Drosophila melanogaster: one gene and its partner. The protein of the gene in region 2 interacts with the protein of the main gene of each other region in a biochemical or structural test. Each region holds a gene or a part of one and is shown on either strand. Other genes may lie near its edges.

Evidence for each region. The genes of interacting proteins can lie anywhere in the genome.
Region 1: of the proteins of sky (region 2) and Rab35, one has a biochemical effect on the other in vitro, tested with the Drosophila melanogaster proteins (one study listed by BioGRID).

Annotation. Positions count from the first base shown.
Region 1 is NC_004354.4:20,157,937-20,161,691, reverse strand, and holds the start of Rab35 (Rab35), read left to right. Parts: upstream 1-1,819; 5' UTR 1,820-2,744; coding exon 2,745-2,796; intron 2,797-3,163; exon of another isoform or gene 3,164-3,334; coding exon of another isoform or gene 3,335-3,353; intron 3,354-3,422; coding exon 3,423-3,722; intron 3,723-3,755. Other genes in the region: Phf7 (PHD finger protein 7), read left to right, coding at 1-774.
Region 2 is NT_033779.5:20,917,012-20,920,766, reverse strand, and holds the start of sky (skywalker), read left to right. Parts: upstream 1-1,835; 5' UTR 1,836-1,968; exon of another isoform or gene 1,969-2,128; intron 2,129-3,305; exon of another isoform or gene 3,306-3,624; 5' UTR 3,625-3,755. Other genes in the region: Mtp (microsomal triacylglycerol transfer protein), read left to right, coding at 1-481, 541-1,081, 1,149-1,316, 1,375-1,528. UniProt on the Drosophila melanogaster protein: GTPase-activating protein (GAP) for Rab35 which regulates synaptic vesicle (SV) protein recycling and turnover at the neuromuscular junction boutons and possibly ventral nerve cord via endosomal trafficking.

The DNA.
Region 1 (3,755 bases), on a different chromosome or scaffold from region 2:
TACGTCTGCAAGGTTTGCTCAGCCGTCAGCCCGGAGGCAGTGCCCGTTGCCGAATCGGACTCGGATGACGCCGGCTCAATGGACGACTCGGCCGAAGCCCCACGTCCAGGTCACCTAAATGGTGATCAGATTCAAGAGAAGCTATCACCCTCCCATTGGGATGATTTCGGCTCCTCCGACGATGATGCCGTCTTTCAGCGTGCGTTCGATACCAAAGTGCAGAGTCGCGTGGTGACCCTCTCCGATGATCAACCATCTACTTCTGCGGGGGCACGCGCTTTAGCCGATCGTGGAACTCGCACATTTGAATCACAGGGAACGCAAACAACATTTCTCTCAAGTGTAGTAACCTCGTTTCGCTCTGCTACTGCAACTGCGACATCATCCACATCCACATCCACATCCACATCCGCATCGACACTTGATAACCAAGAAAACACTGAGCCGTCCACATCGAATGGACGTCGTCCCTGGCGCCCTAGATACGTCTCGCCGCCTAGACACGTGTCGGATAGCGATGACGATAGTGATGAATATGATAGTGATGAATATGAGTCGAAGAGGCGCCAACTTACGCCCACTGCCGCTGCGCCGTCGAATGGCAGGCGTCTGTTGGGCTCCATCTCGCCGGAGCCGAGCACTCCTGCTCCACGTGTCTTACGTCGCCGCACTTTGGCCAACAGGCCTTCCTCACTCGCCAACATGGATATATCCTGTGTGGCCAATAGGACCCGCCACCGCTTGTCCAACCACATGGCCAGCCGCAAGGATTAGGAGAACAGATGACATTACAATAGATCACACTCGCACAAATCCATGTACACGGCAAGATCAATATGGATATATCCTGAGTGGGCAGGATACCCGCAGGGACTAGGAGAACAGATGACAACATCACGATACATAACACTTGCACATTCCATTAACCATCACATCGACTAGGTTGTGGACCAAATGCGTGCGTTTGGTTCGCACCCGTTATTCTCTATTTTCCGCCTTTTGTACATATAAAATTCCATTAAAATCCTGTTCTCCTAGCGGTATTCGCTAATAAGATGCATTTACCATTTATTTGCTTTGTTAAGTAAGCTAAGTAAGTGCTCCTTTCCACACGTATAAATAACTTGTATACATATTTACTTTAAGTAGCTGTAGACATTATTTTCCCCATCTGACTTTCTTTTCAGCAGCTCGCAGTGCCTACATTATTTCAATTACTCTAAGCATTACATTTTTTTGACTAGCGATCTAAGAATCCCTGAATCCAGTATCTGTATCAAGAATCCCAGTATCTGAACGCTAAAATGAAATAAATAAAATTAAAATATTTGAAAAATAAGTTAGAATGATTTTATTTGGATGTTGAAAAAACTTCTCAAAAGTTGTAAACTACGAATACTCACTTTCATTAAGAGTATAGCGTTTTGCTTCTAGTTAATACCCGCTACAAATCGGTATGAAAGTATATAATATTTAGTTTTTTTTTTGGTATTAATATAATATGGGCTTTATAAGTGATTATTTGAAGATTTTTTAAAAATCGCGCCATTCATAATAAATAAGTGCTGGATATGGCCAAAAGTTTATGCACAGGTGGCAACGTTAGCAACCCGCTAAACGGCAACACTTGCGATAATGTTCTCTAAATATATCGATACATATTGATATTAAAAAAAATTGCCAGTATTAATTTATTAAACTAATTTAATTTTTTGAGTGGGCACATTGCATATTTAGTTACAGAAAAATTCGACTTTATGCTCCGGCTAAATGAATCGATGTTTGTGGGGTACTATCTATCCTAAACTATCGATAGCATAAACATCGCATTTGGTTCCGTCTCTAGTGTGGGTGCGTTAGCAATAGTTTATCCAGAATATGAATTAACCAGAATTAATCCGCAACGCCGACGCCCACAAATTCCCACAAATCGTCGTCCTTTCAGCGCTGCAAGAGCAACCCGGAAGCTGGAAAGTTCGAGACCGCCGAGAAGCCCAATATAAATTCAACAGTCAGCCAGAGCTTCACTCCTGTGTGTGTGTGCGTGCGTGCGTATGTGTTCGTGTGTTGTGTCTGTGCTACAGTGTTGGAGAGAGCGAGACGCACGATTGCGAGGGAGTCGAGCTTTGCGAAAATTTGCCAGCCTATATTGAAATATTTTCGGCACCAAATCGCCGTCTTATCCGCCAGCAAGCCATTGGATCTGATGGAAATGAGCCTGCCGCTCGATTTCTCTTCGCAAATCCGCTGTTAAAGCAAAAGCAACAATTGTACCAGTGGAGCCAAAAAAAGAGAAACACACCTACCTAATCAAAGGAAATTAAATAACAAGGCGGCGGCAACAACACTTACATAAATTAACTCGCAACGCAACAACACTAATAACTATAGCTTATCACACAGCAACAAAAACATCAGCAACAGCAGCAAAAACAACAACAACAACAGACCAGCAGCCAGAAAGAACAACAGCTTATCTCAGATATTCAGCCGGCTGCACCAGTGCGAGCGAGAGGGTCGTAGCTTGGGGCGAAAGAGAGGGCGCTTCCGAGAGAGTGCGAAAGAGAGAGAGAGAGAGAGTAAGCGCAGGGAGTGTGCTCCTGTGTGTGTGAGTGTGGGAGCAGGCAGCAGAAAAAAAGAAAACAAAAGTATATTTTGCATTGTTCGACGCGCCTAACTGTAAATATAAAAGCACTTGCAAAAACAAGGAAAAACACAGAAAAACAGCGAAAAAACGTCGAAAAATGGCACGCGGCTTCGATCATCTATTCAAGTTGCTAATAATCGGCGATAGCGGTGAGTTTCCCAGGCATTCCCGTTTCCCACAGACCAGGTGCTTAAAAATAGCATCGAGTTGAAAATAGCAGGTGTAAATTGCAATTTGTCCCCGTTTCCTGGCCAAAAACGCAGTTGTCTCCACCTCCCTTTCGCATTACTGCATCTGATTACCATTAATGTATGTTACATTTAAAATGCTAACGCCAACATGGCGTATGAGTAATGTTGTTTTCAGTTTCCATAATACTTTCAACATTCGTCAGCTTCTTGTTTCTATACTCAATGTTTTTGGCATACTCAACATGTGTTAGGTTGTACTAATTTTATATATTTAATCATAAATGCAAAAGCACTTTATATCAGTCCTGTCCTCCTCCTAACGTAGCTATCTACATATTCATTTGGGCGTATTTCGAGAAAGGTGGTCTGGCTCGGGCAAAACCAGGCTCATGACTAATGGTGACGCACTGGCAGGATATACAGCTTGATATGCGAGCAGACCAGCTGCGGCGGTAACCGGAGCAGGAGAACACTCCCCGCTCCACAGCAATGTCATATGCCGAATGGGCTTACTTGTGTGTAGTAACGATATCACATTTTTGTAATACGAATCCCATTCCATCTTTCCATCTGATCCCCTGCAGGCGTGGGCAAGTCGTCGCTGCTCATCCGGTTCTCGGACGACACATTCTCAGGCAGTTACATCACCACCATCGGCGTGGACTTTAAGATCCGCACCGTGGACATCGAGGGCATGCGCGTAAAGCTGCAGATCTGGGACACGGCCGGGCAGGAGCGCTTCCGGACAATCACCAGCACCTACTACCGCGGCACCCACGGCGTCATTGTCGTCTACGACGTCACGAACGGCGAATCCTTTGCGAACGTCCGCCGCTGGCTGGAGGAGATCCAGAATAACTGCGATGTGGTTAAAAAAGTATTAGGTGAGCCTATATCGTATTACGCACAGAATTGGT
Region 2 (3,755 bases):
GAAGTGCGTTCTTATCTACTGCAAGGTCTCACCTCCAAGGAGCCTACCTTGTACATAAGGGCTCTGCAAAATCTCCAGGATCCTGCTACCATTGAAGCTCTGCTGGAGCACGCTCAAACTGGCGAGGCTCCCAATTTATCGGTGGCTGCCTTACAGGCTCTGAAAGCCTTTCCCCTAGGTAGCTTTAACTCTTCACATCGCTTGCAGTTCGAGAGCATATTCTACCAGCGAAAGCGTCGCTTTGATAGCTCCGCTCGCACTCTGGCTCTTGATATTATCCTGTCCCTCCGGCCAACTCAGGAGCAATTGGGCAACTTCTTGGATTACCTAGCCTCCAATGATCGCCAGTTTGAGATCAAAACATACGTGCTGCAGAAGCTAAGAATGCTGGCTGAGAAGTGCCCGCGATTTAGGGCTTTGTTCAAATCGGAGCTTGTCAAGCGGAGGCATGTAAACAACTACAATGTGCTGGGACAAAAGGGTGAGTACCTAATTTCCTAATGACACTGTTCAAACAATTATGAACTTTAATACTTACAGGTCTTACGACAGTCCTCACCCGTCAGCTTTCCCAGGCTCCAGCCTTCAACGAAACCCTGCTAAGTACCCAGGAAGTGTATCAGGGAATCCTGAAACGTGGCTCCGTGGAATTTCTGCTCCACGCAGGCCGTTCCCAAGCCAGCAGCTTTAAATTGGGCATCTACACTGCCGGCTTGGGCTCGCTGGTAGGCGATGGTGACTCCGGCGATGGAAATGATGCAATCCCGGCGGATGATGAGTTCAGCGAAGACGAAGCGGTCACCGCGGGCATGGAGATCAGTGTGCAGGGTGCTCAATTGCGACCCCTAGTATTCTTCAGCGGTCAGACCGAGCTAATGGGTCACGTGTGGGGAGGAAGTGCCTCGGACTCAACGCCCGCTTACCAGGCAACCACTTTGTCCCAGGATAACGAGCACTACATAATCCTGACCTCCGGGGCGACGCTCCACTGGCGAGTTCTGGGCGCCAGGAGTGTGGATCTCAATGGCAAGGTGGGATTCAGCCTGTGGAATCGAAATGCCCAGACGGAAATCCAGCAGAAGTAAGTGAAAAAGCCAAAGCATTTGATTGGAATGTTATTTAACTCACGATTAACTTTTGGCTTATAGCACTGGCAGCGCTGTTCTTGGTCATTTGGCCGTTGGCTTTACGTATGCGAAATTAGTGCAGGATTTCAGCATCACCCACGAACCAAAGTTGAGTCTGAATGCGGACTTGGACTTCTACAGCGGCATTAAATTGTGCATGCAACTCCAGCGACCTGAACAGCTTCTCAAGTAAGTTTGCTAGAACTATTTTAATGACTCACATGCTAATTGAAAGCCTCCTTCACAGACAAACCAACGTTCGTTCGGTTTTCCTGCAGTCTGTTGATCGTCCTTATGCCAAACATGTGCGCTCTACACTCTCCCACAAAACTGCCGGCTGCACTTTTGCCCTCAACCAAAAAAACAACGAAATGTGCAACCTCATTTTTAGGGACTTGTAGATTCTACTCAAGAGATTATTGGAGATTCCTTGCATAAAAACTATATTTCTATGTGAAAACTCAGAGATTAAGACTCGATATAGTTGTAAACTTAAACGAACAAAGACCATTTAATTTTCAAATGCAACAAGTTTTTAATATCTTTTGAGCAACTCGAAAATTACTGGAAAAGTGGAAATGTGCATTTTTTCTCGATTCACAATAGTCACACCTTAGATTTAAAAATCCCGCCCAAGTGCTGCGAAACGCGAAAGGGGACTTATCGAGCTATCGATTGCAAGAGCTACGCATTCCCATCCCTAAATTCCGCAGTACATTCAAACACTACTACGTTGTGCTTCTTCTTCAAACGCGGCATAAAAGAGGTGCACTCCACAAGCACGAAAAGAAAATAACTACTGCAAAAATATCGTCGAACGCACGAGTCATATTAAATAAAGGTTAATAGAAGCAGGCATCGGAAAAGCTTGATTCCGGAGAAGTGAAACAAATTAGGCCACCGAATGGTGCTCTTCTTCTTTTTGTCGGAATTAGAAGGCTCGTCGCACACACACAGTCGCAAACAAATGCGAAATCAAAAGCGTCATCCGATTGTCTAAAGTAAATACTTCTATTTGCAAGCTGAAAGGCGCGACAAATTAAATAGTTCAAACTTAATAAATCGATATTTGTGTCACCAATTTGCGCGTTTAAATCAAGTGCTAAGCAATGTACTAAAATTAACAATTCCCTTGCCTTTTAAACTCATACAAACACAATTGGAGCGAGAAAGAGATGGGAAAGAAGAAGAATTGTTGTTGTTGACGTGTTCTGTTTGTGCTCATGTGTGCGTGTTCGGGAATTTCTGTTGCGTGAAGTTGCAATACCAAAAAAACCACGTGTGAAATGTTCTGCAATTTTTGTAATTTATTCTGCTGAATTGTTATCACTTTTTAAGAAAACAATCTGTAAGAGGCGTTTGCCTTGGCATCTTATTGGCACAACATTTTAACGCAAATTACTACTCCGTACGAAAGCATTAAGAATCATAAATAAATAAAAAACGAGATCTGAAATCTGAAATATGTATATTGAAGAAAGATCTAGAATATCCAAAACCAGGGGCACAGATGGTGACTATTTTTGTGAACTGCATTGTGATAGGGGTACCTTTTTACCACACACACTTGCGCACTTGCTGCTCTCTCCCTATTCTCCCACTTTTTATAACGGTATCACGCACCCTGCTTATCGGCATTGTGAAAATTTTGTTTGGCTTTAAAGAAATTTCCATTCATAATAATTTTGTGTATTTCAAAAGTTGGTTTATTTGCAAAAATATGTATAAATTCATTTGCTAACATTAGTTTTTTACTTGTATGGTTTGGGTGATGCTCTCTCAAACTTCTTTAAGTCTCACTCGTCCGACATCCAACCGCACAGTGGGAAAGTTCTTAATCCTTTCTGCCATTATTTCAGTGCTTAAAACAGGATTTTTTGTGTGAAAAATCCGAATTCACTGATATAAATACACTAAATTGTTGTTATGTTATGTTTTAGTAAAGTTGGAATTAGCTTGATAAAATCATGATTTTATTATTCTTTAGTTTTTTAATAATGAGATTTTGTAAATTGTTCCTAAACAATAAACAATAATAACTAAAAAAAAAAAACAGTATTTCATGCATACCACTGCACATTAATCCCACTGTTCGTCAAACGTTGGAGAGCGAGCAACGACGAGAGGTTCGCAACCGAAGCAGCAAACGAAAGTCTATTTAAGCAACCCGCAAAAGGCGCTCTTTCGTATTGCCCGATAATTTTTCGACCGCGCTGCTTGTGTTTTCGGTTCCCGCTGAAACAAACATAAAAAAAAGAATATAAAAAATATATATAAAAAAAAATGGATGTAGGGCGAAAATAGTTAAACCACTTTAAATATACGAAATACGCGAATTTCGGAAACTAGAAAATCCATCTTTTAAGGTAGTTTATTTATCCATCTCGCTTTTTCACTCTCCTCTGTGTGCGTGCGTGAGTGTGTGTGTAAAGGCCAAATAGTGCCCTTCGCCTCCCCGGCCACGCCCCCTTGGGCAGAGTAATAAAATGGGAAAGAGAATATATATCTTGCTCCTTTAGAATTTACCTGTGAAAGTGAAAACGTGACAACACGATAAAACGGACGAAGCAAGCAAAACAAAAAACGAGTGCATAAAAACAACGAAGGAGGATAAGAAAAAGAACAAGT